4 linked regions of the Sus scrofa genome follow. The main gene of each other region encodes a partner of the protein of the gene in region 3 in a complex. Links are inferred from orthologs where the notes say so. Each region holds a gene or a part of one and is shown on either strand. Other genes may lie near its edges. The genes, in order: MEFV, RIPK3, CASP8 and RIPK1.

Region 1 (7,989 bases), on a different chromosome or scaffold from region 3:
AACTGCCTTTCAAGAAGTCCGTGTCTCAGAATAGCCCCTGTTGCAAGAAGTGTCACTGAAATTGCCAAACATCCTGCTGTGAACTGGAAAGCCCCGCTTCTTGCCCGATTCTGTCAGAGGTGCCTTAGTCTTAGCTCAGAGGAGTTTCCTGGCCAGTCTGGACAGCGTCAGAGATCCCAGGAACACAAAGGCATGTGCAAGGCATTGTGCAATTTCATCATTTCTGCCTCAGCAGAGGGAGGCTGACTTCCTGAATCCTGTACAGGTCCTGGTCCCAAAGAAACCCCAGGTAACACCCTCTGGCCCAACCTGAGAATTTCCCACATCTGATGTTTCCACCGTAAAGGTGCATTTGGGTGCATCCATTTTTTAGGGAAGATGTCGGCTTTGGCTGTTATTTTCTTAGCAGAAAACTGGATGTTGTCAGCTGTTAAACACCAAACACTGAATCCTCTGTAAAGCATGTAGATCAATCGGACATTAAACTAAATTCAACCAACTAGAAGTCATGGAAGGCTTGATCCTAGGTTGGCCATACACAGGGCTGTTTGTTCAGTCAGGCATCCGAATGTTGTAGCTGACCTGTGGAAGCGGTCAGCATGACCCATTTTGAGCCTTGTTGGTCATCTGAAAAGGTGACCTCCATGGTTAGTGATGAGTAAAATTCAGTTTCATCACGCAGGGAGGCAGTATTACAAGGTGGTTAATAGAGGGTGTTTGAACCCTGGCCCCGGGCAAGTCTCTAAGCCACTAAGCCAGGGATGATGGATGCTGCACCGAAGGGGGACTGCAGAGATTTCAGGGAATAATGGATAGAAAGCAAGCTGAGCTGTGCCTGGCACAGAGGAAGCACTTTTGAAGGCTGAGTGTATCACTGGCAAAACATCTGTCAGCCAACATTTCCTGAAAAAGAAAGTTTAAACCAGGATGTGCACATGATGCCAACTAAGTGACAGAAGTTCCACCATTTTGCAACCACCACTGTAGCAACTGATTTGGGAAGGGATCATCCAGGAATTCTAATAGCAGCGGGTGAAAGACCATAGAGGCTGAGACATTTCTACACAGCCAGGTTAGTTATTAATTACAAAGACAAAAGGGACCTTTTACAATGGAGAGATCTTAAGGATGCAGGGATGTGCCCTCAGTCTAATAAGGAAGGAAGAATCACACAAATGTGCACTGAAGGACATTTAGCAGACTTTTCAAAACCATTAATGTCTTGAAAGAATTTTAAAAGAACGAAAAAATTTTTAAAAATTCAGGAGTTCCCATCATGGCTCACCAGAAATGAATCTGACTAGTATCCATGAGGACATAGGTTCGATTCCTGGCCTCGCTCAGTGGGTGAAGGATCAGATGTTGCTATGAGCTGTGGTGTAGGTGGCAGACACGGCTCAGATCCCACGTGGCTGTGGCTGTGGCTGCGGCGTAGGCCAGTGGCTACAGCTCTGATGCGACCTCTAGCCTGGAAACCTCCATATGCCACAGGAGCGGCCCTAGGAAGACAAAAAAAAATTTTTTTAACTAAAAAAAATTTTAAAAAATTCTTTAGGTGCGACCCTAAAAAATTAATTAATTTTAAAGGCCAGGGGGATGTGAAAGTGTTCTAGATAAAAGGAGACTTACAGAGACATGACAACTAAAAGCAATGTGTGCCATCTGATTGGATCCTTGTTTGGAAAAAAAAGCCATCAGAGACATTATCAGAACAATTGAGCAATTCGATTATGGACAGGTTGTAGTATTACAAAAACATTAAAGTTCCTCAGTGTATTAATAGTGTTGTGATTATTTAAAATAATATCTGGGAGTTCCCTGGTGCCTCAGCAGGTTAAGGATCCAGTGTCACTGCTGTGGTTCCGGTCGCTGCTGTGGCATGGTTATGATCCCTGGCTTGGGTACTTCTGTGCATCACAGATGCAACCCCCCAAAATAAAAGAAAATTTAAAAATTGATATCCAGGCATACTTATTCTTAGTATTTAGGGTATCTAGGGTATTTGGGTGATATCTTTTTTTTTTCCTTCTGCTCTTTAGGCATATGGAGGTTCCCAGGCTAGGGGTCCAATTGGAGCCATAGCTGCTGGCCTACAGCACAGCCACAGCAACGCCAGATCCAAGCCGCATCTGCAACCTACACCACAGCTCACAACAACATCGGGTCCTTAACCCACTGAGCGAGGCCAGGGATTGAAACCACAACCTCATGGTTCCTAGTCGGACTCATTTCCACTGCGCCATAATGGGAACTCCTGGAGTGATATCTGATATGTTTTAAATTTATTACCAAATGCTTCAGAAAAAAAAGAGAAGTGAAAGCATGTGTGTGTGTGTGTGTGTGTGTGTGTGTGTGTGTGTGTGAGAGAGAGAGAGAGAGACAGAGAATCACCAAACATTATAAAATGTAAACAGCTGGTGATCCTAGGATAAAGGGTATATAAGGGTTCACTGTACTATGCTTTCAACTTTTCTGTGGATTTGAAATTTTTTTTTTTCTTGTCCTTTTAGGGCTGCACCCTTGGCCTATGGAGATTCCCAGGCTAGGGGTTGAATCGGAGCTGCAGCCGCCAGTCTATGCCGCAGCCACAGCAACACAGAATCCGAGCCACATCTGCGACCTACACCACAGCTCATGGCAACACTGGATCCTTAACTCACTGAGTGAGGCCAGGGATCAAACCTTCATCCTCATGGATACTATTCGGGTTCATTTCTGCCAAGCCACAACTGGGAAATCCTGACATTTTTGGAAACAAAATGTCGGGGTAAAAATCAGTGCAGAAAGACGGAGCAGTCAACCAAGGAAGAAGTCAGCCCCCACCCCACACACAACACTTAGCTTCGGAGCCACCGCTGGGGCCCCACACTGGGCTGCGAGCTCTGCCGGATGCCTGTGCGGTTTTTCAGCCCTGTTTCTCTGGCATCCTGGCCCAGGGTCCCAGACACATGCTCAGTAGATGTGCAGGGACAAGAGCGCCCCCTCCGAGGCCTGGGGCTAGGAAGCTGCGGCAGAGGTAGCGCTGGGACAAACAAATCAGGATGGTGGGCCCAGGCCTGTGGCATTTTGAGGCATTCGTGTTGCTGGAAGAACCAGACAACCAGAACAACATTCAAGGGGGAGATAACAGGGCTGGTTTCTGGGCGGTGCCCTTCCAGCCTCACCTGCCTCCTTGGGTTGTACCTGCGGCTCCCCATTCCCCGCTCCACAAAGTCCCAAGAGTCTGCAGGGGAACAGCTGGCCGGAGAAGCTGACTTTCATCATGCTCCTCTCCAGCATGGGACCAGGGGCTCTGTTCCCCCCACTGTACCCCTGTATCCTGGGAGAAGCCAGGGAAGCATCACCATACCTCTCCCAAGATCAAGAACCTGGAATCCAGGAGTTCCTGTGGTGGCCCAGCCGGTTAAGAACCCCAAAGAGTGGCCCTGAGGATATGGATTCGATCCCTGGCTTCACTCAGTGGGTTCAGGATCTGGCACTGCGGCAAGCTGCGGTGTAGGTCACAGATGTGGCCTGGAACCAGGGTTACTGCGACTGAGGTGCAGGCCCGCAGCTGCAGCTCTGACTCAACCCTTAGCCCAGGAAATTCCATATGCCAAGGGTCTAGGCATAAAAAGGAAAGAAAAAAAAAAAAAAAAAACCTGGACTCCAATTCCAGACCCTCCAAGACTTACCCACCGCTCTGCAATCCATCTCAGCCAGTGAGAGCTCAGGTGCCGGCCACCTGTCTGACGGGGCGTGGAGCTCTCCCAGCTGGAAAAGCCTCTGCATCTGTAAGAGAACCCAAGCCAGCCATGACATGCTCATGGCCTTAGTCTCAGTTCCCACCAAAACGGAGAGCATTTCCTGTGCCTTTTCCGTTATTTCACAAGCTACCTCTTCTCACTCACCCTCGGGGCTCCAGGGCAGAGAGCTCAGAAGACAGACAGCTGCCTCCAGGCTCTCCTGGGCCACGCTATGGCCAAGACCCCCAGTGACCATCTGCTCTACTCCCTGGAAGAGCTGGTGCCCTATGACTTTGAGAAGTTCAAGTTCAAGCTACAGAACACCAGCCTGGAGAAGGAACACTCCCGGATCCCCCGGGGCCAACTCCAAACAGCCCAGCCAGTGAAGCTGGCCATGCTACTGGTCACCCACTATGGGGAGGACTATGCTGTGCAACTGACCCTACAGGTCCTGAGGGCCATCAACCAGCATCTCCTGGCAGAGGAGCTCCACAGGGCAATCAGCCCAGGTAAGTGGCCCCATGCCCCCGCAACTTGCTGGCTGCTGGCGGGGTGGGGTGGAAGGCGCAAGAGGGAACTGATGTTTGGACCAGGGCGTCTTGAGTCCAAGGTCTGCCACAACCCTGGTGACTTGAGCCAAGGAAGTGCTTACCCCTCTCTGGTTTTTGGAGGAAAGGTAAGGCTCCCAATGGCTTAACAAACAAAACAAAACAAAACAAAACCCAGAAGGCTGAGGTTCTGACTCTGGAGTGGGATCAGGAGAGGCAGGAGTGGCTGCCCGTTGGTAGAGGCGCCTCGCTTCATTTGTGATTAGCACTCACCCGGAGAGGAACAGCTTTGTTTGGATGATCACAGGGTTGATGGATGAACAGCAGGGTTGATGGGTAATCTCAGTGGTACCCCCTGAATTTCTGCTCTCAGTTCTTCTTTAACGCATGTTACAAAGGTATTTTAAAATTCTCAAAAGGACTCTCTTCTTTCTTTTTCCTTGCTTCCTTTCCTCTTTTGCCTCTTTCCTTCTCTCTCTCTTCCTTTCTTCCTTCATTTCCTGCATCTTTTCTTTCTTTCCTTTTTTCCATCCTTATCTTCCTTCTGCTACTGTTTTGCTGCAACTTTCTGATTTTATGACATTGTAATCAAAGAATGTGGCCAAGTGGTTCCTGTTTTTAAAGACTTTTTTTTTTTGGAGATGGGGGTGCTAAGACATGATTAGTTTAAAAAATTATTCTTTCATATTTGAATTTTTCTTACATTTCTAGACTTTTAAGAATACATCAGGAATACTTTATATGTGCTTCTATGAGGCAGAAGACTTTACATAACATAGAAATTCTCTGCTCTTTGAAAGAGTGATAAAACTAAAGCGTAATCTGAGTCTGGTGTAACCTGATGAGTAGAATTTTTAAGTTAATTTTTTGTATTTTAAAATCTGGTTATTAGCATTTTCATGGTTTCTTACCAGTTCTGGATCCCGTCTGGGTAACATGTTTTCCTAGACACCCAACAGCAAAATGTTTAAGCAACTTTAAATTCTAAGTATTTTTCAAACCAAAAATTAAGGTGCTAATTACAGGTTATTTTCATTTCCTTATTAAAGTAGTTTGAAAACCGTATCCCGGGAAGATATTTCACAGGTTATTTAGACTGTTACCAAATACCTAATTCAGATGTTGTTGTTTTAACTTATGAAACAAATTCATATTAAAATGTATATTAACCAAATTTTAAATACTGGAGGCCATCAGTGTGAAAGTTCGTGCTACACTTGAACTTTTTATGGAGACCCTGGAATTCAGCCTTTCTCGTTGTGTCTGTTTAATTAAACAGTATTCTGAAATTTCTATGCAAGCTGTATTTAACAAAAATTACTATGACGCTTGTCCGAGTTAAGGTTTTCTTTGCCTCATGATACCAAAGGGGAAAAAAACCCAGAAACAAATTAGCTTCTGAAGTTTTAACTGTCCTTCATAACCCCTGATTTCAAATTTGTGTGCCAATCTTTACTGATGGATTTTGTAAGTGGGTTTTGTACGTCGATAAACCACACACGAATGCATACCAATAAACAAATGTTTTCACTTACGCGTTAAGAATTCTTAGCAAGACCTAGGTTTCCCGCCTACAAAAGTTTGAAAAGGGAGTTCCCGTCGTGGCGCAGTGGTTAACGAATCCGACTAGGAACCATGAGGTTGCGGGTTCAATCTCTGCTCTTGCTCAGTGGGTTAAGGATCTGGCGTTGCCGTGAACTGTGGTGTAGGTTGCAGACGCGGCTCGGATCCCACGTTGCTGTGGCTCTGGCGTAGGCCAGTGGCTACAGCTCCGATTGGACCCCTAGCCTGGGAACCTCCATATGCCGCGGGAGCGGCCCAAGAAATAGCAAAAAGACAGAAAAAAAAAAAAGTTTGAAAAGCACTATTTCAGAAGACAGCAAATAATTAGTATGTTTTTATGTAATAGTAACTGACTGCCGACGTCTAGAATGTCCTGAACGTCCCTCATTTCAGGGGGAATTGTCTCTTCTCTCCCCTTCCCCACACCTTGACCCCGAGACTCTTCATGCCTTTTTATCTGTCTTTTCAGAATATCAGATACAAGAAAATGACACAGACAGTTCAGCAACGTCATGCTCCTCTAGGGAGATTAAGCCCAAAAGCCTGAAGATACTGGATGGCCTGGAAGGTGACAAGCAGCGACAGAGCAGTGACGGGGCTGGCTGCCCACCATCCATGCAGCCTGAGGCTGGCAAGGGGCCCCAGAAGAAGCCCCAGGTCAAACGGAGAGATCAGAAAGGCCCTGAGGGCCTAGATGCACAGAGCAAGCCAGGGGCCCGGAACATGACCACGTCTTCCAAGAGAAGCCCACTCCCTAGCAAGCCCCAGGGGGAGAAGGGGAGCAAGCCCGGTGTCAGCCTCCGCAGAAATGCCAGCTCTGCAGGAAGGCTCCAGGGCCTGGCCGGGGGCTCGCTGGCTGGGTCCCTGGGAAGGAGAGAATTTAAGATCTCTGAAGCCTATTTACCCACAGGAAAGAAGCGACCCAAAAGTCTTGAACTGACCATTTCTCCCGGAGAGATAGAATCCCTTCATCCAGAAACACTTCTGCTTCAAGAGAAAATGGGAAGTGAGAATCCAGGCTCAGCAGCCACCCCCAGTGAGATGGCCACTCTGAATGTGTGTGCTCCTGTGGCTCCAGAGAAAGGCTCCAGGAATCTGGAACATTCCATGACCCTGCAGGGGGGTGCACTCAGGAATACACTGTCCAACATATCGTTGGCTGCAAAGAAGAAGACGTGGGAGCGCCCAGAATCCACAGCACCTCCAGAGAAGAAAGGAACTGAGGCTCCAGAGAGCTCCAGGACTGTGGAGGAGGTGGCAGGCGGTGTGCTCCATGTACCTTCAAATCCGAAAGGCCCTCTGTCTTCAGGTAAGAAAGGACCTCAGAATCCAGGAGACTCAGCATCCTTGGGCATAATGACCTGTGCGGGTTTCCCCTATAAACCTCTGTTTATCCCCATTGTGTTTATTCCACTGGACCCCTGGGTGCCCCTTGAGGTCCTCAGCCCTTTGAGAATTTGATGTAGGCTCTGAATCCTGAAAAAAAAAAAAAGTGCACATGCACATCTTCAGGAGATGCTGCCTCCATTTCGGTTAGTTCTCTGTTTTGGGCTGTGCCTGTAGCAAGCGGATGTTCCTGGGCCAGGCATCAAACCCACACCACAGCAGGGACACCACCAGATCCTTTCCGTTAGTTAGTTCTTAGATACACTGATGTCCTTCTTAAGACTTCCCAAGGGCTTCGTGGACTCCAGGTTGAGCATCTGGAAAAGACTGGGTGGAAAGATCACCCTCTCACAATACCCCACGGTAGTATGTCGTGGGGCTGAGATCTTGCCATTGGCCTCTCCGGGCAAGGAGGGAGCTGTTGGCTAAACTCCTTGGGTCTCTTTTACTCAAGAGGCAGAAATTAGGGTTATGATGGGTTGACAGAAGTGCCAAAATAATGTAAGTGAAACAAGTCTGAAGTTTGTCCCCCCTCCATGTAAATGACACATAGGTGGTCCAGGATAAATGTGGTACCCTGTGGCCAGGAACCCAAGCTCCTGCCCTTTTTCTGCTCCACAGAGTTTGCTCTCAAGTTCATGGTCTCCAAGAGCAGCGTCCGCATTCTGGGCAGCGGGATGGAGGCACAAGGGAGAAGACGATCACTCAGGGAAGGTTTTCTCCAGTTTGCAGACACTGCTCATGGTGCCTCTACTTATTCACGTCCT
Region 2 (7,765 bases), on a different chromosome or scaffold from region 3:
TGTAGATGGATGATCTATGTGTTTTCTCTCTAGCCTTTAGATTGTCTTAATTGTTCTGTTTTTTTTTTCATCTTTCTCAGCATAACTGTTCTTCCTATATTTGCAAATTCTTGTCTTTCCTCAATTCTTGAAATTTTTCAGCCATTTGCTTCTCAAATATTGCCTTGCCTCCATTTTTTTCTCTTCTCCTCATGAGGTAGGCAATTTGATGATTGTTATTTGCCTCTAGATTTTTTATCTCTGTGTCTCTGCTGATGTGTTCTGATGTTTTTTTGTTTTTGTTTTGTCTTTTTAGGGCCGCACCCGCGGCATTACGGAGGTTCCCAGGCTAGGGGTCCAATTGGAGCTACAGCTGCCAGCCTATACCACAGCCACAGCAACACAGGATCCAAGCTGCTTCTGCAACCTACCCTGCAGCTCATGGCAATGCCGGATCCTTAACCCACTGAGAGAGGCCAGGGATCGAACCCACAACCTCATGGTTTCTAATCAGATTTGTTTCTGCTGCACCACAATGGAAGCTCCTGATGAATTTTTTTTTTCAGATCCATCTTTTAGTACACTTTCTTCAGCTATATCTTCTGCATTGCAGTTTTAATTTTAACGGATGGGCACATATAATTTTTTTTATTTCTTGATATTCTGTTTTTTCCCTAAGTCTAGTTGGACATTTTTATAATCTCTTATTTCATGCTAATTTTTTTTCTATTCCATCTTTTATTTCTTTAAACATTTCGCAATAACTTCTTTAGAGTCTTCATCTGATTGTCCCAAACTCTGAAATCCTTAAAGATTTAAACCCGTTGATGGGAGTTCCCATCGTGGCTCAGTGGTTAACGAATCTGACTAGGAACCATGAGGTTGCAGGTTCGATCCCTGGCCTCGCTCAGTGGGTTATGGACCCAGCCTTGCTGTGGCTCTGGCAAAGGCTGGTGGCTACAGCTCCGATTAGACTCCTAGCCTGGAAACCTCCACATGCCACCAGTGCAGCCCTAGAAAAGACGACCAAAAAAAAAAAAAAAAATGCCAAGAGAGTTCAAAATTTACGGGGCCCTGAGGTCCAAGCTAAGGAGCAAGTGGAGGCCTGGAAGATTGTAGCTATGCCCAAGGCAGGCAGATAAACACAATAACACCTTTATGGCTTGAAGGTGTATGAACAGCACCTCAGCCTGTACACCTACCTGCACCTGCAGCTCAGAATGGACCCCTAGCCTGGAAACTTCCATATGCTGCAAGTGCAGCCCTAAAAAGAAAAAAAAAAAAATCCTAAATAGTTTGCAAATAGCATGGACTGACGTCACTAGAATTCATGATGTAGATCCCGGAGTTCCAGTTGCTCTAGAAACCTCAGTTAAACGCTGGCCACTTTTGCTCCAACTAACAGAGCCCATGAACCACTGGACAGAATGGAAAGTTCATACCAAGGTGAGCACCGTCCTGTGAGAGCTGGCCCATGACCCACAGGGTTGGGTCTCCTGTAAAGGAATGAAAGCCCAAGACTAGCCATATCTAGCTCTACAACCTCCAGCTATTGTCAGGCTTTGGGCAGGTAATCTATGGACACCTTTTATCTACTCTAAATCCTTAAGGTTCCCCCAAGCTCCTGAGTTCTCCAAGGCCCTTGTCCAGAGCACATGCTTGTCAGGAATATTTATTAACCAGAGAATTTTCCCTGAGGAATTGCTGCAGGAGGAGAGGGCAGGCAGGCTCTGAGGTGTTCCACTGCAGTGTACACCACCAAGTCAGCAATTCTTTTTGCTGGGTCAATTCCTCTCGCTGACCACAATGCCCTAGGAGTGGGTCTTGGTCTTGCCAGCAGACAAATCACCACCAGTGGCAGGAATACATACAGGGACTCCCACTACACTGCTGGATGCTTCATACCTTCCTCAGACACCTTCACGACCAGCTGAAGCTTATATGAATATAGCAAAGTTTGATGGTTCAGAGAACCCTCCTGCACTGCTGGTGAGAAATTAAGCTGGTACAGCCACTACGGAGAACAGTATGGAGGTACCTTAGAAATCTATACATAGAACTTCCATATGACCCAGCAGTCCCACTCTTGGGCATATATCTGGACAAAACTTTCCTTAAAAAAGGCACAGGCACCCATATGTTCATTATAGCACTATTCACAATAGCCAAGACATGGAAACAACCCAAATGTCCACTGACAGACAATTGGATTAGGAAGATGTGGTATATATACACAATGGAATACTACTCAGCCATAAAAAAGAACAACATAATGCCATTTGCAGCAACATGGATGGAACTAGAGACTCTCATACTGAGTGAAATAAGTCAGAAAGAGAAAGACAAATACCACATGATATCACTTATAACTGGAATCTAATATACAGCACAAATGAATCTTTCCACAGAAAAGAAAATCATAGAATTGGAGAATAGACTTGTGGCTGCCAGGGGGAGGGATGGGAGGAGGAGGAGGGATCAAGAGCTTGGGGTTAATCTATGCAAACTATTGCTCTTGGAATGGATTTACAATGAGATCCTGCTGTGTAGCATTGAGAACTATATCTAGATACATCACAACACAACAATGGGAGGGAAAAGTATGTATACATGTATGTTAACTTGTACCCCACGCTGTACAGTGGAAAATAAATAAATAAATAAATAAGTACTTATCCCCTTAGAGTTGACATGCGAATTAAATAGCTAATATATGTACATGGCGTGTGGTGCGCTTTAGAAATGTGTTAGCTCTGACCTTAGGGCAGCTGTAGGAGAGCTGAGTCCTAGGCCCCTAACATGCTCCTCAGCACTGAATCCTCAGCACCAGCAGGCTTGGTGGTTGAGCTAGGAATCCTGCGGAAGAAGGAAACGACACCATTTGTAGGAGGCTGTTGATTATATGTTCCTGGAAAGTGAGGACGCCTTCTGTGGCGATCTAAAAAGGGGCAACTAACCCGGAAGCAGCACGTTCTGAAAACCACTTGCTTCCTTTCTGCACCCCGCCCGCATCCCCGTCCCGGTCTCCCCGCCCCCGTCCGTCCCCCCCCCCCCCCCCCGCCCCCAAGGGCAGGACTGCAGAGGCCTCCGTCAAAGAGGAAGTCGGTCTGGCTGAGTAGAGAGAACAACCTGGGGAGCCGGGAAGCGGATTCCGGGAAGCGGAGTCTGTGACGGGGCTTGGAGATTGATTCCTCTCCCAGCGCCGCCCCCCTTTCCGTGTGGGCTCTCAACTTCCAGAACCCTCTGCACCTACCAACTTGATGTCCGGCGTTAAGTTATGGTGAGTAAAGAGTGAGATATGGATCTGGAGCCACCCCCCCACCACACACACACACACACACACACACACACACACACACACACAATAGGCACCCCGCGGGCTCACTCAGGGGATGCCACCCACCCATGTGCCAAGGCCCCGGGGCATAGTGGGTTTCACGGGGGAGGCTGGGGATTGAACTGACCATATGCAGTCATGGGGGTCACGGGGATGGGGTGGCATGGGGAACAGCAGTGCTGACTTGGGGGTCATGGCCAGCTGATGACCAGGCCTCCTCTCACAGGCACGTTGGTGCTTCAGCGCCCCTGGTGCCCATCGAGGACTTGGAGAACCCGAAGTTCATCGGCAAAGGAGGATTTGGCACGGTCTTCCGGGCGCAGCACAAGACTTGGGGTTTAGACGTGGCGGTCAAGATCGTTAACTCGTGAGTGACCCAAGCTGCTGGCAGCTGGTGCCAGCCAGGTGTTTGGTGGAGAAGGCAGGCCGCTGTAACTCAGGGCCAGGGTGGGAAAGGGAAGGGTCTACCCAGAAGCTGAGCAACTTCTCAGAAGCAGACTCCAACTCTCTTCTGATTGCAGGCAGGCGATATCCAGGGAGGTGAAGGCCATGGCAGGTCTGCATAACAGCTATGTGCTGCTCCTGCTGGGGATCACAGAGAAGCTGGAGTGGGACTATGTATCTGGGCCGGCTCTGGTGACTCAGTTCATGGAGAATGGTTCCCTGGCGGAGCTGCTACAGCCCCAGTGCCCTCGTCCCTGGCCGCTTCTCTGCCGCCTGCTCCAGGAGTTGGTGCTCGGGATGTGCTACCTGCACAGCCAGGACCCTGTGCTCCTCCATCGGGACCTCAAACCCTCCAACGTCCTGCTAGACTCAGAGCTCCATGCCAAGGTCAGCGCATCCCCGCCCCAGCCCAACCTCTGGACAAAATCCTGCTCCAGAGCTGCTCCAGCTCCACTCACTGGACATGAGACCTATCTGCTGCAGCCCAGGATACCCTCAGCAACTCCCTCTGGATATAGGGCTGCCATCCAGGAGCTTTAGCTGCTGCCATACCAGGTGATAGAGGCCTTGACCAACATGGTCAGTTCCACTGTGTTAGAACCCACTAGGACCTCCAAACACCCATGGCTAACCTAGCTTAGGAGGCTCAAATCTTGACCCAGCCCCATGGAGAGAGGACCCAGACCTCCAACCAAGGGCCCCACTTGTCCTACCACTTCTCTAACCCTCCACACCCCCTTTCCAGGGCTGGACCTAAACATTCTATGGGGTAGTGGGAAGAAAGTTCTGGAGGCTGCCTGGCCCTATCCATCCGTATCTCTTCCTTCTTATCTCCCTTTGCAGCTAGCAGACTTTGGCCTGTCCACATTTCAGGGAGGTTCACAGTCAAGGGCAGAATCTGGGGAATCAGGTTGCACCCCAGCCTACTTGGCCCCAGAACTGCTGGCTGATATAAACCGAAAGGCCTCCATGGCCAGTGATGTCTACAGGTAAGGTACCCACTCCACATACACATCCCAATTTCTACACCTCTCTGGGTCCTTCTGAGGGACAATATATGGAAGGGAGTCTTGCCAGCAGTTGGGTCAGGCCTCAGCTTTTGTCTCCTGCAGCTTTGGGATCCTGATGTGGGCGGTGCTAGCCGGAAGAGAAGCTGAGGGTAAGACTCCAGGCAGACTCTGGGATCCCGAATCTCAGGTGTCCCCCTCCTCCAAGCCCCCACCCCCCCAAGCTCTCCTCTTCCTATTGACCTGCTCACACTGCCCTACTCCCTCCTCACCTCTCCTTGGACTGTACTCCCTGCCCCTTTCCATGATGGGCAGGTGGCCCTCACTCTCTGAATGCCTTCTCTCCACGTCCCCCACCCCCTCCCCAGTGGCGACCCAGATATCACTGGTGCGGGAAGCAGTGTGTGAAAGGCACGTCCGACCCCCATTGGATGAACTGCCCCAGTCTGGCCCTGAGAATCCTGGTTTGGAAGGACTGAAGGATTTAATGCAGCGCTGCTGGAGCCATGACCCCCGGAATAGGCCCTCCTTCCAAGGTGCGCTGGCCATTTAGTTGGCAGCTGAGGTAGGCCTGGGTCTGTCCGCAGGGGGCTCTTCCCTGATAATGAAGCTATGCTCACCCACCACCCATTCTGCCTTCTCTCCAGACTGCCGACCCAACACCCAGGGAGCCCTCGATCTGGTAATGAAACAAGATGTAACTTGTAAGAAGATGAATGCCGCGGTCTCCACAGTGAGTGTCTAGCACCCCTAGGAGCTGGGCAGGGAAGGCACAGCATGGCTTCCTTGGCCACCCAATGACTCCCCGCTGACTGTTGTTCTCTAAGCCTTGACTCTCATGCCCACTCCCCCCAACCCATCCCTGAGTTCCCAGGCAATGGACATGGGCCAAGAGGCTCCTCCCTTGGGTTAACCCTGGCTCTCCCACCTCCATGCCCAACCAGCTCTCCATCCTTACAGGTGAAGGAGTTCTTGTCTGAGCACAAGAGCAGCAGCAGCTTGTTGTCTGTCCGTGAGCCAGGCCTGGAAAGTCCAGAAATGGATGGCCTTAGGGGGAGCACAGGAAGCCATGATTCTGTGGTCTCTGAAATGATGAACAGCCTGAACCTGGAGGAGTACCCCAGCTCTGTTCCTGAAAAATGTACAAACCCTCCTGAGAGGATCAGGGCCCAGAAAGAGCAGGTTCAGCCTACCTGGACAGCAGAGATACCTTCAGATTCAACAGCCCAACCTCCTCAAACCCCAGAGACCTTACCTTTCATGAGCCAGAAGCCCAGCCACACCTCAGCTTGGCCCCCAGGCCCTGGACCCCAAGAGAATCAGGTGAGACCTTGGCAGGACTCAAGGATGCACTAGGACTCCTGTGAATCCTGTCCCCTTGCCAGGGAAAACTTGGGGCTGCAGTAGGGGAACAGGCCCAGGGACAGGGAGCCTGATGGCACTGTGTTGTCTGTAGGGGCCTGAAAGACGTGGCACCAACTGGTCTCCCATGGCACCAGGGCCAAATCCAATATCAGGTACCCATTCCCCATTCCCTCCTTTCCTCTGCTCAATTCTTCCACCAGCTTCTTCCTCAAGATCAAATATAGATCCAGGGTACTTGGGGAGGGGGATGAGAAAGGGCTAGAGGTCACCTACCCCAACTTTCTCATCTTATAAATGAAGAAACTGGGATTGGGTCCCACTTAGGTCACACAGCAAAGCCTGGATTTGCCCCTGAGCCTTCTGACTTTCCAGCTCTGTGAACCTCTAAATTCCATTGCTGCTATGTAGGCCCAGAGGGCCACCCAGCAGAAAAGACCCAAATGTCAGCGTCTCAGATGTTCGTTGCCACTCCTCTTGAGCTTCTGCAAACCCAATTCTGAAACCCGAAAGGGAAGACCCAAGGCACTCCTTGACACAGTCGTGGGCAGGCCCAGAGACTGCCTACTTGCATTTCCCCAGGGTGAACACAAGGTGCCGCTGCCCCCCACCCTGCCGCTCCTCCTCGCTTAGACTCTCAGATCTGTACCCTTTAACCCTCCCTCGAGCATCACTGTTTCTCTTAAAGGGCCATGGTCTTCTCAGTTACTTTACAACCAAGGGGTGCAGATTGGAAACAGCAACTACATGGTTATAAAAGGAAGAACTGCCTCATCCACGCGGGGCCCGGTACCTTGGGGCATGAAGAAGGGCCCCCAGCACAAGTAGCTTTCAAACAACTAGAAAGAAGGACTGCAAGAAACGGAAGCCTGGAGTGGGCCACAGGGCTGGTATCATGATAGCAGTATCAAAGCAGCTTCTGAACTGCCTTCTGGAAAACCCAGCATTCTCTGAGGGTCATTAGGCCTGTACCCGAACTGTCTTTGTTCCCCCAGGACTCAATAAACTTGGTGGAATTTTAGCCCAAGCACTGTACAGGAGGCTAAAGCTTCAGCCAGGGGAGGGAAAGGGACATGGATGAGAGACCGGGGAGCTGACATCGAGGGAGTGGGAGGTACTGCCCTTCAACCACAACCACGGACCACAACCAACCGGAAGCAGGATGCTGGGAATGGGCAATGTTGTGGCACACAAGGTCAAGGCCCAGCCGGTGGCAGGAAGGAATCCTGGAGGCCTATCTCCTGGGGCTGCTCTAATCTCAGGGCAAAGCATTTCCTGTAGGGCAGGTCAAGACCCCACCCCAAACCAAACCCTGGATGTAGAGGCTGTGGCCCAGCCACCCACCTTTTCTTGTGGGCTATGGAGGCTTGGCAGTGGGGTCCTGGGGAGGGGGTTCTCCATGGGAACTCGCAGTCCCCAGCACATCTTTGCCCTGCACGATGCCCCTAGTCTCTCACAGGTCAGCCTCCATATTACCACTCCCTCCCCCAGGTACACCCACGCACACATTGCTGTAACACGGAGGCCTCAGAACCCTTTGATTCCCTGCTGGTGTCTAGGAGTGGAGAGCAATGGCTCCACAAAGCTACACACACACCCCTCCCTTGGAGTTGGACATCACTGGAGCATGGACCGG
Region 3 (7,244 bases):
CATGTTTTTATTTTCAGATTTTCATTTTCTAATTTAATTTTGAAGTTAACATGTTTTTGTATTGAAGTTATTTTCCATTATACCATAATAGCAAAAGATTTGCTGCCGTATAAAATATTCCCTTATTCAATCAACAAGCATATCCCAAGAGCCTATCGTATTTTGGGAAATAATAATACCTGCCATGTTTGAACACTTAGTGTGTTGCCAAAGCTTGGTTTAAGGGTTTCAGGTACACTTATTTATGTCATCCTCAACCTCTCCCAGTGGGGTGGATATAATACTATCCACAGTCTACAGATAAAAATGTATAACATGTCTAAAAGCCCACAGCTTGATGGTGGATCAAAGGTTCCAACACCAGGAGCCAGGGTCCCCTGCACTTAAACCCTGTATCTCATGACCCTCTGTGCTTTTGGAAACCAAAAGGGCACTGATTCCACTCTCAGGGAACTCATCATAAACAGACAGTTACAGCGTGTGTTACCCTTCTAGAGACACCCAGGCACAGCGGGCTGAATGTAGCCTTGAGGACAGGCAGGCAGTGCCTGAGCTGTTGGTGGATGAGGGGTTGTCTGGAGGTGCACAATGAAATGGGGGTGTCGGGGGCACAGCATCAAAGGGTGAGGGGCAGAGCAGCTGGTTGGGTTTGGAGAGGAGATGGGGGGACGACGGCGAGGAGTGGCTGGAGAAGAGGTCAGCTCGGCTCAGTTTACAAAAGTCTATTCCAGAGGGAAGTGTTTGGCCTTCCTGCTGAAGGCAGTGGCTGGGAGAACATTGACTAGTTTTAATTAAGGAAGCGATGATCTGATTTGCATTCTGACAAGCACAATATCCAATATCAAAGCCTTTTTCTATTGCAACAAGATCTTGATTTTCGGGAGTTCCTGTCGTGGCCCAGTGGTAATGAACCCAACTAGTATCCATGAGGACGTGGGTTTGATCCCTGGCCTTGCTCCATTAAGGATCCAATGTTGCCGTGAGCTGTGGTATAGATTGCAGATGTGGCTCGGATCCCATGTTTCTGTGGCTGTGGTATAGGTCAGCAGCTGCAGCTCCAATTTGACCCCTAACCTGGGGACTTTGACTTCATATATGGCAGGAGAGGCCCTAAAAAGCCAAAAAAAAAAAAAAAAAAAAAAGTGGGCTAATTGGGCATGAATCAGTAGTCTCAGTGTCAATACACCCCTTTCCAAGGACTAAACCTATAAATCAAGTCATTAGCTGGCTTTATTTTATTTTTACTTATCATTTTGGCTGCACTTGCAGCATGCAGAAGTTCCCAGGCCAGGGACTGATCCTGTGTCCCAGCAGTGACCACACCAGATCCTTAACCCACTGAGCCACCAGGGAACTCCCTAGCTAGCTAGCTTTTTAAAGTGAGCCATAGGAAACAAGTGCACTGGGACTCATGTATCAAATGGGAAATTATTGAAGAAAGTAGTTCTAAAAGTGATTCTGTTTCCCACTACAGGGTCATGCTTTTTCAGATTTCCGAAAATGTGACCAGGTCGGAATTGAAGGACTTTAAGTTTTTTTTGAGTCAGGAGATTGCCAAATGTAAACTGGATGATGACATGGTAAGACCTGGTGTCTCACCGAGATTTAGTCCTGAGGGTGAGTCAGCCAGTGGGGACTTCTGAGACCAAAGAGAATGTGAGTCGGTAAAAGTAACCTGAAGTCTCAATTTTTTATCAGGGGAGAACGTTGTCAGGCATGAGTGCTGTAGATGCATTGCCTTTGTATATTGTAAAGTGCTGCTCATATTAATTTTCAGGAACAAGGCAGGGTCTTGGGAAGCTAGGGTGGGCACTTGGTTTGGAGAAAGTGGCAGTGAAAAAAATGAATCTAAAAGCCAGTATGGGGGCAGTTCCTATTGTGGTGCAGTGGAAATGAATCCGACTAGTATTCGTGAGGATGTGTTTGATTCCTGGCCTCGCTCAGTGGTCCAGGATCCGCTGTTGCCGTGAGCTGTGGTATAGTTCGCAGACACAGCTCAGATCCCCCATCACTGTGGTGTAGGCCGGCAGCTGTAGCTCCGATTTGGCACCTAGCCTGGGAACCTCCATATGCTTTGGGTGGGGCCCTAAAAAGCAAATAAAAAATAAAAAAAAATAATAAAAAAAGCCATAATGGGGAGTTCCAGCTGTGGCTCAGTATCCATGAGGATGTGGGTTCAATCCCTGCCTTTGCTCAGTGGGTTAAGGATCTGACGTTGCTGTGAGCTGTGGTGTAGGTCGCAGCCACGGTTCGGAACCCACATTACTGTGTCTGCGGTGTAGGCCTGCGGCTACAGATCCAATTCGACCCCTAGCCTGGGGACTTCATATGCCGCAAAAAAAAGACAATAAATAAATAAATAAATAAATAAAAGCCAATATGGTTCCATCCAGTTTTCCAACTTTATATCTCCTCCCTCTAGACCTTGCTTGATATGTTTATAGAGATGGAGAAGAGGGCCATCCTAGGGGAAAGAAATTTGGAGACTCTGAAAAGAATCTGTGAACAAATCAACAAGGCCCTGCTGAAGAAAATCTGTGATTATGAAGAATTAAACAAAGGTAAAAATAACCTGACGGTGGAGTTCCTGTTGTGGCTCAGTAGGTTAGGAACCTGACTAGTATCCATGAGGATGCGGGTTCAATCCCTGGCCTCACTCAGTGTGTTAAGGATCTGGCATTCCTGCAAGCTGCAGCATAGATCACAGATACAGCTCGGATCTGGCGTAGTTGTGGCTGTGACGTAGGCCGGCAGCTGCAGCTCTACAGTTCCGAGCGTGGGCACTTCCGTACACTGGCGGTGCAGCCCTTAAAAGAAGAAAAAAAAAAAAAAAACCTAAGAGCTGTGAATCAGCAAATGGTAGTCATAAATTGATTGAGCCCTCTATGTCACAGCTGTTTCAAATCAAATGTTTGTTTGTTTGTTTGCTTTTAAACTTCAGATCGAAGAATGAGCCTTGAAAGTGCTTCGGATGAATTTTCAAATGGTAATGCTTGGAGATGTTTTCCAGGTTTCTTTAGTTTAATTTACCCCCTGAGAGCTTCATAGACCCAAGAGACCTGCTCTGCTAATAGCAGTGGCTACGTTGACACTTTCTCTGCAGGTTGGTAGATGTCGAAGCTGTCAAAAGACAGAGGCCCTGCAGCCCCAAGTTTGAAATGAGGGCAGTTGGTCAGTGATAAGATTTTCACTTACTCTGTGGACTGCATGGATATTATATTTAAGGCGGTTTGTGAATTCTCACTTTCAAAATGAAACGGACAGCACTAACGGCTGGAACCTAGCCAGACCACAGACTGGGACTTGAACCCATATGCCAGGACTTGAACCTGGCCTAAACCCAGATGGAGACTTGAACCCACGTTTTTAAATGAGCACTCACCTGATGTCTGGACTTGTGGAGGTTCAGGGTCTTTATGCCTCCTCGCAGAAGGAATTCAGCGAGAGACAAAGGGATAGGCAAGAAATAGATTGATTAGGACGGAACGCTTGTGAGAGATGCAAGCAGGCGGGCAAGAGGGTCTTCCCGGAGGATTAGGTAGGCTACAGTTTTATCATCCAAGGGGAGTGGGGGTTGGAAAAGCCCACCTCTTCCTTTTGGGGAGTAGCAGCTCCTCCTTGGTATCCTGTAAGGTGTGTATTCAAATCAGCAGAAGGGCGGTCCTCAAATTCCTGTCTTGGTCTGAATCTGAACGAAGGTCTCCTTCCATCCCCCACCCAATGACCTGAGGCAATTCTGAACTTCCTTCCACGAGCCGAGCAAGCCTGCCTTGCTCTGATGGCTTTTTTGAGCAATTTATTAACTCTCGGTGATCTCCCAGTGTCCCCTAGATTTCCCTCTCTATCTATGATTCTTTATTGGGACTTCTATAACTACCCGTGTCTACTCCATCCCTATCAAAAGGGACCTTACGTTGTCCCGAGTGCCATGTCCCTCCTTACCAAAGGAACTTCCCTGCCGTGTCTCTTTCCAGATATGTCTCAACTGGTGATCCAGGAGGGGTCCCTGGGAGAGCTGGCCATGTCGGACTGTCTGGGAGAACAGGACAGTGATTCAGAGGTATCTTCCCGTCGCCTTTTCCCTTTGCGCTGCAGATACTATTTATCGGATTCCTGAGCATTTTTAGCTTCCAGATAAAACTGAACAGCTCTTTGGTTTCCTGTGTATTAAGTTTCTATTTCTATTGGAATAGTTGGAGGACAGAGGGGTAGGGAGCCTCTAACCTCGTCTTTCGGCAGCTGCATCAGCCTCAAGGGCAGAGAGCTTTGGGGGGAAAGATGAGCAGGATTGGAAAAAAGTTGTCTTTTTTTTTTTTTTTTTTTTTTTTTTTTTTTTTTTTAGCTTGGCATTTAAAAACTGATTCTCCTTCGTGATTAGGTGTAAGCAGCAAAATGCTCATGATCCAAGTGTCTCTATGTTCTCATCCGGGTGAGCTGGCCCAAGAATTGCCTTTCCAGATATAATCACTTCTGTTTCTACAGCCTTCAACAATTGACCGCATCCTGACTCACCAGTCCATTCACTTCTCTCTGTGGCGGGAAGCAGAGGAAACCCTATATGCTAGAAGTCTAGTGGGAGACTTTTTTTTTTCTTTCTTTCTTTTTTTTTTTTTTTGCCTTTTTGCCTTTTCTAGGGCCACTCCCTTGGCATATGAAAGTTCCAGGCTAGGGACCCAATCGGAGCTGTAGCCAACCTACGCTGAAGCCACAGCAACACGGGATCCGAGCCGAGTCTGCGACCTACACCACAGCTCACGGCAACGCTGGATCCTTAACCCACTGAGCAAGGCCAGGGATCGAACCTGCAATCTCATGGTTCCTAGTTGGATTCGTTGACCACTGAGCCACGATGGGAACTCCCTGTAGTGGGAGACTTCTAATTAAGCTTGAGAGAGACCATTTATTTATTTATTTATTTATTTTTTTGTCTTTTTTGTTGTTGTTGTTGTTGTTGTTGTTGCTATTTCTTGGGCCGATTCCACGGCATATGGAGGTTCCCAGGCTAGGGGTTGAATCGGACCACCGGCCTACGCCAGAGCCACAGCAACGCGGGATCCGAGCCGCGTCTGCGACCTACACCACAGCTCACAGCAACGCCGGATCGTTAACCCACTGAGCAAGGGCAGGGACCGAACCCGCAACCTCATGGTTCCTGGTCGGATTCGTTAACCACTGCGCCACGACGGGAACTCCGAGAGAGACCATTTATTAGCGGGCTCCTGAGCAAATTACCAGACCTCTCTCAGTCTGAACATCAAGAATTAACCAAAGTCACGCGGCACTTGGTGAACAGTGAAGCACTCTGCAAGCGTCTTGCCCATCCATCAGCTAATGCTACCGAGTGCAAGAGAGATCATGTAACTTGTCCAAAGTCTTAAGGTTATTAAATAGTAGAGCCAGGAATTTGGCCCCCTAGCCTGGGGCCCTTTTCTCTGCCTCCAGAAACTGCACGGATTTCCCAATAAATGTTAACTACCTTAGTTTAGCACTGAAACAGCCCTGGAAAAGTTAGGAGGTCACCGCCTCTCCTCTGACTGATACTGTCAAGTGCTGGAGTCTAGATACTATAACCTGTAGCACAGCCAAGACCTGCGACTGGCACATCTCTATCCTCCTGTCCCTGTGATCCTCAGAAGTGGATTAAGCCGTCAGCTTTAAAAATCCTGGGGCCATGTTGTGTGACGGGCAGGCCCTCAGCTGTTAGCCCAGAAACCTGGATGAGTTGAGCAGAGAGCCAGGGGGATCACAAGGTCACAAAGTGGCAGCTCAGAGACAGCATGAGGACACCCATATGTCCAGCAACTCCTGCCCAATTAGAAATATATCCTAGTCCCTGGCATAGATGTCCTCTGCTTTGAGAAGAAAGGAGAATGAATAATACCAACACGGGAGTTCCTGTTGTGGCTCAGTGGGTTAAGAACCCAACATTGTATCCGTGAGGATTCGGGTTTGACCCCTGGCTTTGTTCAGTGGGTTAAGGATCTGGCGTTGCAGCAAGCTGTGGTCGTAGATGCAGCTCAGTTCCGGTGCTGCTGTGGCCTAGCCTCAGATGCAGCTCTACCCCTGGCCCAGGAACTTCCATGTGCCTCAGGTGTGGCTGGAAAAAGAAAAAAAAAAAAAAAAATCATACCAATACAGTGTGATGACAACACTATTCATAAATATGCTCAGGAAACCTGAGTGTGGGACACTGCTGTTCCACACTAACTGGGGGGCAGAAGTCTGGGGATCTTGGTGGGTGGGAATGAGTGGAAACTAGTTCCTTGGGGGAGAAGTGCCAAGTTGGGGCGGGGCTGTGAAAAGTGCACTCGGATCCCAGTTTAGCTGAGGACATGCCTCCGCTCTTACCTGGGGTTGTTTGTTCACATCTCAAGTGTTGGACCCACAGAGTCAGCTCCTGAGTTGGAGTTTTTTGTTTTCCAGGCATCAGAAGCAGTTTACCGAATGAAAAGCAAGCCTCGGGGATACTGTTTGATCTTCAACAATTATGATTTTAGTGTAGCACGGAAGAATATAGCCAGACTTCACAACATTAAGGATAGAAATGGAACAGACTTGGATGCAGGTACAGAAGAACCCAAAAGGGAAGGGAAATATTTCTAACACTTATGTTTTTATCAAAAGGCAAGAATAAAAGCTGAATCAACAGGGCCACAGGTTTTAAAAAAGATAGATAAAAAAACAAAACAAAACAAAACAAAAACAGAGTTCCCGTCGTGGGGCAGCCAAAATGAATCTGACTAGGAACAGTGAGGTTGAGGGTTCGATCCCTGGCCTGGCTCAGTGGGTTAAGGATCTGGCCATGAGCTGTGGTGTAGGTCACAGACACAGCTCGGATCCTGCATTGCTGTGGCTGTGGCACAGGCTGGCAGCTGTATTTCTGATTCAGCCCCTAGCCTGGGAACCTCCATGTGCCTCGGGTGTGGCCCTAAAAAGCAAAAAAAAAAAAAAAAAAAAAAAAAAAAGATGGATATAACCACATTTCCCTGTGGAAGTGAAGAACATTCATATGTATTTTCCAGTTTTCTGCTTTTTTTTTTGAAGTAATTTTTAAAATCAAAGTGATGTATATATAAACATAAAATATCAAATCTTACTAAGAGGTTTATAAAATGCAATGATAAGCTTTTTTATTTGTTTTTTTGTTTTCTTTTTTGGCCACACTCATGGCACTTGGAAGTTCCTGGGCCAGGGATTGAATCCGAGCTGCAGCTCGCCACCAAATCACCACCAAGAGAAATTCC
Region 4 (8,018 bases), on a different chromosome or scaffold from region 3:
GCTCCATCATAAGTGACCAGAGTTCCCAGTGTTGGATTATTTTTGAAGAAAACTCAGGTCTCCTTCAGTTGTTGATTCCACCAGGGCAGCTTTTAACGCTATACTTTGTTTTTTGGCTTTTTTAGGGCCACACCTGTGGCACATGGAGGTTCCCAGGCTGGGGGTCGAATCAAAGCTATAGCTGCTGGCCTACACCACAGTCACAGCAATGCAGGATGGGAGCCGCATCTTCAACCTACACCACAGCTCATGGCAATGCCGGATCCTTAACCCACTGAGCGAGGCCAGGGATCGATCCTGTGTCCTCGTGGTTCCTAGTCAAGTTTGTTAACACTGAGCCACCTAAGGGAACCCCCTAACTCTATACTTATTAATGGACAGAAATGGTACCTCTCTCTTCTAGAAAAAAGGACCAGAATAGATTAGAAAACTGTATCAACTCTAAATTTTTTTAATCTAGCAAACCAGCTCTTTCACTCTAGACGTGTCACCTCAAAGGAAGACCAAAATTCTTAAATCTTCAACCGCAGTAATTGAAGTCTTCTAAATAAAACCAAAATCCTCCCAGTTTTCTTTGATTATGCAAGGAGCCCAGACATTGGAAAAGAGATTGTCACCAGTGCAAAGGCTTTAGGTACCTCTGCCCTCTAAGCAGCCTCTCCAGTGCTCTCCCCATCTTCAGTGACATCTTAAAGAGCCCAATGAACCACTCCAGGTCTGGCAAACAAATGTCTTACAATTTCCTCCACCTCGTGGCTATTTTAGTCATGGTCTGCGTGTTTTTCCACTGGACTGAAGTCTTCCCCTGTAGTCAGGCTACTCCCTTTTTTTTTGGTTAAAGTTCTTTTGGGAAAGAATACCCCTATCTGGAAAACTCTTCTTGCGGTTCACAGTGATCAAGGGACCCGTTTTACTGGTGAAGAACCTCAGCAAGTGTGCTCTGTATGGCCAGTTGTGCAACACCGTAGCTGCAGTTACACCCTCAGTGCTCTGGTTTACCTGACTGTGCTAATGGTGCCCTTATAACTCAGCTGGCAACATTTGCAAAGGTTTCTAAATACTTTGGCCAAAAGCATTGCCGTTGGTCCTTCTGAATCTTCGATCCACTTCTTATATTCATAAACTCTCACGGTCTGAGATAGTCATAGGACACACGTTATGCTTGGCGCCTGCCTCTTTTGACCCAGGAGTGCTATGCATTGTTCCACTATCATAAAGATCTAATTACTTCAACCAAAAATAACCATGATTTTGTAGTCTTTCCAGTGTCTCCAGGGAAATGAAGACCTTAAGCCTCACACCTGCAACCAGTAGATTTTATCTGTGGGAGTAAGACACCTCCAAACTCTTCAACCTTATTGGAAAGGCCCTATCAGGTACTGCTAACCAACCCTTGTGCCACCACACTCCAAAGAACTGACTCTTGGACTCACATGACACAATTACATTTAAGAGCCAAAGCCTGACTGGACCTGTACAGCATCTGGCGACCTAAAGGTAAAGATTTCCCAGAATTGAAGCAGATGGCATCTGATGAGTCAGCTTTCCCAAGATAACTGGACCAGGCGTGTTGGGAGTTTGTTGCCAAAGCTTTGACAACACAGCACTTCAGATGATCTCCAGCGTCTCTGATCTTGGTAACATATGAACTTTGGGTGAAAAGTGCCTGACAGCTCTCATACTCCTCCTTCTTACTCCAGTGTAACCTCTGCATGTTTGCAATCTGTGTCCTTTCCCACTGATGGGAGATAGGAAAGGGCTTTCCTGACACTGGGGTACAGAAAAGCCACTGACACCAAAAAAATCTCATGCTTGAATGGAGATGCTTTCAGAGAAAGATCTTGATCAAAGGGGGAAATGTAAAAATCAAATGAACAAAGAACAAAAACCTTAAATAGAGGAGGCCAGAAGGGGGAGTTCTCATACCTGCAACAGCAGCAGAGAGGCCAAGAGGAAGAAAAAACACCTCTTCTCTCCAGGCAACTCAACCAGTGAAAAGCTACAGACTTTTTTTTTTTTTTCCCCACTGTACAGCAAGGGGATCAAGTTATCCTTACATGTATACACTACAATTACATTTTTTTCCCCACCCTTTGTTCTGTTGCAACATGAGTATCTAGACAAAGTTCTCAATGCTATTCAGCAGGATCTCCTTGTAAATCTATTCTAAATTGTGTCTGATAAGCCCAAGCTCCCTATCCCTCCCACTCCCTCCCCCTCCCATCAGGCAGCCACAAGTCTTTTCTCCAAGTCCATGATTTTCTTTTCTGAGGAGATGTTCATTTGTGCTGGATGTTAGATTCCAGTTATAAGTGATAGCATATGGTATTTGTCTTTGTCTTTCTGGCTCATTTCACTCAGGATGACATTCTCTAGTTCCATCCATGTTGCTGCAAATGGCATTATGTCATTCTTTTTTATGGCTGAGTAGTATTCCATTGTGTATGTATACCACCTCTTCCGAATCCAATCATCTGTCAATGGACATTTAGGTTGTTTCCATGTCCTGGCTCTTGTGAATAGTGCCGCAATGAACATGCAAGTGCATGTGTCTCTTTTAAGTAGAGCTTTGTCCGGATAGATGCCCAAGAGTGGGATTGCAGGGTCATATGGAAGTTCTATGTATAGATTTCTAAGGTATCTCCAAACTGTTCTCCATAGTGGCTGTACCAGTTTACATTCCCACCAACAGTGCAGGAGGGTTCCCTTTTCTCCACAGCCCCTCCAGCACTTGGTATTTGTGGATTTATTAATGATGGCCATTCTGACTGGTGTGAGGTGATATCTCATGGTAGTTTTGATTTGCATCTTTTTTTTTTTTTAAACTATAGCCCTCCTAACTTCCTCTGTCCCCATAAAAGTGTCCTCCTCTCCATTTTTGCTGGGGCTTTGCACACAGCTTCCTACAGTTGCAGACCCTGAAATGCAATCCTTTGTGGATCATGAATAAACCTTTTTTTTGAGAAATAGTTGGCAGTCTATTTTAAGTCAATAGGATGTACTGGTATCTCATTGCTGTTTAAAATCACAGTTTCTGGAGTTCTCTCGTGGCACAGCAGGTTAAGAGCCCAGCATTGTGACTGCAGTGGCTCAGGTTGCTTTAATGACATGGGGTCTATCCCAGGCCCAGGAACTTCCACATGCTGCTTGAGTGCAGCCAAAATAAATAAATGAATAAGAAGAAATTCATAATTTCCTAGTGACTTCTAATATTGACCATCTTTTCACATGCCATCTATATGGTAAAGTGACTGTTCAGATCTTTTGCCCATTTTCTTACTGCGATGTTCCTTTTCTTAGGTTTTTACTTCATTTTGGGTAATACTGTTTTAATATATGTGCTTTTTCTTAGTTTGTGGCATCTCATTCTCTTGATGTATGTACCGTTTTACAGTATGTTATCACGCTGTGTATAAGCTTTTTAACGTAACACTAGAGCAAGTATTTCCCATTTTGCTTGAGACTTCCCAATTATCATTGCAAAAGACTGCAAAATAAATACCTTGCTCTTCTACTCTAAAATCCAGAGTAGATTTTATTATCCTCGCTGTACAGGTGAGGGAGATGAGAGCATGATAATTGCCTATAGTTCCAGCGCCGCTGACCCGCGGAGCTGAGAACTCCCCTGGGGCTGCATGCCCCACCTGGGAGGTTTCTAAGAGTGGTTTCTAAGACTCCGCGCACTTCCTCTCCGGGCCTCCGGACTCGCTCTGAAACGCAGCAAAGCCGCGACATCTGGCTGGGCGCACTCCAGGTTCCGAAAGCTGTCCAGGAGGCCCGGCCGGCGGCGGGGCGGGCGCTCGGCTCGCCCTCCTCCGGGGCAGGGGCAGGGGCAGAAGGCGGAGCGAGCAGTCCACGCCCTCCTCCGGCCGAGCTCACTCAGTCGGCGCGCAGGCGACGGGGACACCGGATCGGCTTTCTGGAGCGCCGGTCCCGGCGGGCCCACTCCGCGAGGGCCGGAGCGCGCCGACCCACGGGGCAGCAGGCGGCGGACGGCGGGCTCGCGCAGCCGGGGGCGGGGAGCGCGGGGCCGCCCCGCCGGTGTCGCAGCCGACGGCTCAGCCCGCGGCGACCCTCGTCAGGCTCCGCGCCGGCGACGCTGCCGGGCGTCGGGGCAATCCTGGACTGCCCCCGCCGCCTCGTCCTCCACCCGGCCCCGGCCCCCGCCTCGGCCTCGGGAAGCTGCCCGCGGAAGCGAAAGCGAATCCTTCGGTGGGTCTGCGCTGGGAACCCGGACCGCGGTCAGGTTCCCCGAACGGCTTCCGCCCAGGGCGGGGCTCCCGCTTCCGGCGCGCGGGCGGCGGGCGGGCGACCGCGTTCCGGACGGACGGGGCGGCGGGCCGGTCAGGTGGTGAGCGTGGCCGTCGGCGTTCCCGGAAGTCAGGCTGTGGGCGTGGCCCGCGACCTCGTTCCGGGCGGCGGGGTTCTCCGCGGGTCGGACCAGGGACGCGGGTCCGGCGACGGGTGCTGGGCGCGGCCCGCGGCGCTCCCGGGGTCTGGCGGTGGGCGTGGCCCAGGCCTTCCCGGAAGTCGGCCGGCGGTCCGCGCGGGGTGGGCGTGGCCCAGGCGTTCCCGGAAGTCGGGCGCGGGCCGGTTACCTGGCCGCAGCGCGGCGGCTCCCCGCTGGCGGGTGGTTTCGGTCTGGCGGTCCGAGGGCGGAGCCCTGCCTCCCCTGTGATGTTGGAACCAACCGACGCCGTTCCCGCTGTCGAGCTGGTGGGGGAGGTGGGGTTTCACGGCGGTGTCATTGAGCCCGGCCTCCTTACCGCCCTTCGGAAGGACCTTCGCCTGGGGCCTGGGGCCGCCGCGGCTCGCGGGACGGGGGCGTTTCCGCGTAGCCTCGGCCGGGAGCCGGCAAGTGGGAGAGAAGGGTCCACAGCGACGAAGGGGCAGGATGTCGTAACCCCAGGAGGCCTCGTCCGTGGCCAGTGGCGTTTGCTCTTACCAAGCGCTCCACGACCTCGTCGGAGTTTTTGAAGAGGGCGAGCTAAGTTCTTCTTCCCTGAGCCGTGGACAAAACCCCGCCGGAGGCGTGGTGGTTGGTTGTCTCGGCCTGTTGCTGATCGTTTGGCAGCTCCTTGCTCAGAGCTCTTGTGTATCTTGGACAAAGCCTGAAGCCTTTGCACTCAACCAACTTTGCCGAAGTTCTTCGGTCTTTAGACCACTGTTCTTACCCCAAGTTTTACACTCGGAGAAATCAAGGCAGGAGTGAACTTGGCCCTGTAGAGTGACTTCGTGCTTGATCTGCATTTTGTAACCATCAGGTAGGTGCAAAAGAAAGGGAGACAGTCGTGGTCAGTTATACGTGCGGGGAAGGGCAGCTCTTCCAGACAGTAAAGGTGAAGACTGAGTTCGTTCAAAATAAAATGATGGGGTACAGCGGCAGCGTCATTAGTTATCACTGACGAGGCAGCAGTAACGCTTTTAACTTGTCTCCATTTTCCTCTGCGGCACGTTGTACTTGGAGGATTGGGGACATCCGGGAGAGTGAAGAAAAAGTCCCTAAACATCGAGTTCGGAAATCGCCAATTTCCGATTGGGGCTTATTAATCCGCGACACTGTTGATACGGCCAGTGTGATCGGGGAATTTGAAAAAACACAAAGCTTCCCACGCTCTGGTTGGATGTTATTCTCCGGCAAAAATGATCGTGTTATAACCTGCAGAAAGCTGATCTGGAACCACACACTTTGATGTGTGTGTTTCTCAGGGGTGAGCAAGTTTGTGAGATGAGGTTCTTGCACGTGATTTTAACAAAGGTTATGGTTTGCTCCCTAGAGAAGAAGCATGTATGTGTTAGCGGAAGTTTGAGTGGAGAGAGGAAAGACTCTGCCGTGTTAGAGGCATCATTCAACTCCAGGAGTTACTGCCTTTACCGTTAGGCCGCAGTGTCCTAAGGTACCTGGGGAGGCTGGCTGGAACGCTTCCTGTCATTCTGTCTTACTTATCATTGGGATGTTCCTTGCTCGGAGCTCTTGTTTATCTGGGGCAAAGCCTCAAGGGGTTATAAGCAAAGAACCCTTGGACACTTGAGTCAAATCAGAGTACTGTCAGCAGGGAAAGGAGGGCAGCGATGGGCAGCATTTTCCGTCAGACTCATTACCTACGGTCATCATTGTAAAATGGAGAAAATACTCCTTCCCACTTAAAGGTGACTATGAGTATTTGGAGTCGCTTTTTAAAATGTTTACATAGAAAAGTGCACAGGGCCTAACTGCTCTCTTGCGCATCGCAGAGGGAACCTGACCAAGTAAGACACTGCTGCCCGCAATCCCTCGAACCTCGTGTCAGTTAGAGCCTCCTGGTCCCCCCCGCCCCCGCCCCCCGGGAGCCACTCTCCCGACTGTTAGGGTCATAGATCAGTTTTGTTGGCGTTTTGGTGTTATTATTTATTATTAACAATTCACATGTCCCCCCAGCTTTACTGAGGTATAGTGAGAAACAAAATGGAATATAGCTATAAATATTTTGATACCTAGACCTGTCGTGCCTTTGAAGGTCATTAGTGAAGTTTCAGTTAACTTCAGTGGAAAAGATTGCTTTCCTGAGTCCCTGAATTAAATACACTTATGCAGGAGTTCCCGTCACCAGTGCTGCAGAAACCACCTAGAAACCATGAGGTTGAGGGTTTGATCCCTGGCCTCGCTCAAGTGGGTTAAGGATCCGGCGTTGCCATGAGCTGTGGTGTAGGTCGCAGAGGCGGCTCCCATCTGGTGGTGGTGTAGCTGTGGTGTAGGCTGGTGGCTACAGCTCGGATTGGACCCCTAGCCTGGGAACCTCTGTATGCTGTGGGTGCGGCCCTAAAAAACAAACAAACAAAAATATACTTATGCAGAAATCTTAAGAAACCCCATTAAATGAGATATATTCACGTTCTTGTGGAAATTAGTTAATCGCAAGTTGACAACTGGCCGGCTGGCTTTTATTGACCCCTCTGTAACGGGCTTTATCGTCTGGTTTTCTGCCTGCATTGTGTTTTTGTGACTCTTGGGTTTCTAAATCACTCACACACAATCCTTCCTAAATTATTCAGTGTTTATAAAGTTGAATCATTCAAGAGGAAACGGGGGGCGGGGGCAACAGTACAATCTCAAGAAATCATTGGACAGCATGCAAAGGAGCAGAAGTTAGGTCAGACCAGCCTCAACCAGCAAACCGCAGCCCGAGGAGAACCAGCCCAGGTCGGGAGCCGCCCCCACCGAGCGCATCCTGCCTGCAGGGGGTGCTACAAGTCCCCGCTGGTCTTGGTGGCTCTGAGGAGCCAAGATCTGGGCTGAAGGAGAGAGAGCAGCTGGAACCTCATCCTCCTGAATCCTGACACCCCGCTGGGCCTCTTTCAAGGCATGGGTGTAATTCCTTTCTGTTTCTTTACTCGGTCTGTGAGCCTTTTGTAATATTACTAAACATGCATACCCTACCACCATTTTTGAAAACTGCTGGATGTATTTCATGGTGCGAATTGGCCGTATAACTTACTCTCCCTTATTCTGCGCACGTCAGTTGTTTTCTGTTCTTTTGCTGTTCTTCGTAGTGTTACCGGGAGCATCTTTGTGCATAATCTATGCCAGCACCTGATTCCTTAGAATAAAGAACTGCACAGTGAAGGAATTATTTCCTTTAAAACAGATCTGTCGGAGTTCTCCTGTGGTGTATAGGATCCAGTGTTGTTCCTGCAGCGGCTTAGGTAGCTGCTGTGGGGCAGGTTTGATCCCTGGCCCAGGAACGCCCATATGACGTGGGTGAGGCCAAAAAATTCATTACGAAGATAATTCATGTTTATTGTAGAAAACTTGGAAAATGTAGTAAAAGTGTAGAGAAGAAAGAATCACCCAACCATCCAAATAAAATTCCTGCTCACCCGTCAGGGTCTTTCTCTGTATCTTTTCTCCTGGGCCTGTGTCTGTCGGTCTGCCCACCCATCCACCCTGTCATGCACTGGCTGTATAGTGGTACAGCTTGTGAATATGCTTGAATCCGCTTAACTCTAGTCTTTATCTTTGAACAATTCTAGTTCTTTTT

Evidence for each region.
Region 1: CASP8 (region 3) and MEFV share a complex: the UniProt entries of both Homo sapiens proteins name them as parts of the AIM2 PANoptosome complex. The link is inferred for Sus scrofa from reciprocal best matches to the Homo sapiens genes CASP8 and MEFV.
Region 2: CASP8 (region 3) and RIPK3 share a complex: the UniProt entries of both Homo sapiens proteins name them as parts of the AIM2 PANoptosome complex. The link is inferred for Sus scrofa from reciprocal best matches to the Homo sapiens genes CASP8 and RIPK3.
Region 4: CASP8 (region 3) and RIPK1 share a complex: the UniProt entries of both Homo sapiens proteins name them as parts of the AIM2 PANoptosome complex. The link is inferred for Sus scrofa from reciprocal best matches to the Homo sapiens genes CASP8 and RIPK1.

Annotation. Positions count from the first base shown.
Region 1 is NC_010445.4:38,930,731-38,938,719, forward strand, and holds the start of MEFV (pyrin), read left to right. Parts: upstream 1-3,890; 5' UTR 3,891-3,957; coding exon 3,958-4,234; intron 4,235-6,305; coding exon 6,306-7,145; intron 7,146-7,989. UniProt on the Homo sapiens protein: Involved in the regulation of innate immunity and the inflammatory response in response to IFNG/IFN-gamma.
Region 2 is NC_010449.5:74,948,100-74,955,864, forward strand, and holds RIPK3 (receptor-interacting serine/threonine-protein kinase 3), read left to right. Parts: upstream 1-3,045; 5' UTR 3,046-3,239; coding exon 3,240-3,259; intron 3,260-3,542; coding exon 3,543-3,683; intron 3,684-3,837; coding exon 3,838-4,147; intron 4,148-4,603; coding exon 4,604-4,749; intron 4,750-4,872; coding exon 4,873-4,919; intron 4,920-5,135; coding exon 5,136-5,303; intron 5,304-5,414; coding exon 5,415-5,500; intron 5,501-5,727; coding exon 5,728-6,090; intron 6,091-6,223; coding exon 6,224-6,284; intron 6,285-6,817; coding exon 6,818-6,957; 3' UTR 6,958-7,156; downstream 7,157-7,765. UniProt on the Homo sapiens protein: Serine/threonine-protein kinase that activates necroptosis and apoptosis, two parallel forms of cell death. Necroptosis, a programmed cell death process in response to death-inducing TNF-alpha family members, is triggered by RIPK3 following activation by ZBP1.
Region 3 is NC_010457.5:104,933,984-104,941,227, forward strand, and holds part of CASP8 (caspase-8), read left to right. Parts: intron 1-1,474; coding exon 1,475-1,580; intron 1,581-2,422; coding exon 2,423-2,561; intron 2,562-2,941; coding exon 2,942-2,986; intron 2,987-3,974; coding exon 3,975-4,060; intron 4,061-6,423; coding exon 6,424-6,565; intron 6,566-7,244. UniProt on the Homo sapiens protein: Thiol protease that plays a key role in programmed cell death by acting as a molecular switch for apoptosis, necroptosis and pyroptosis, and is required to prevent tissue damage during embryonic development and adulthood.
Region 4 is NC_010449.5:1,837,283-1,845,300, forward strand, and holds the start of RIPK1 (receptor-interacting serine/threonine-protein kinase 1), read left to right. Parts: upstream 1-3,860; 5' UTR 3,861-5,264; intron 5,265-5,777; 5' UTR 5,778-5,897; intron 5,898-8,018. UniProt on the Homo sapiens protein: Serine-threonine kinase which is a key regulator of TNF-mediated apoptosis, necroptosis and inflammatory pathways.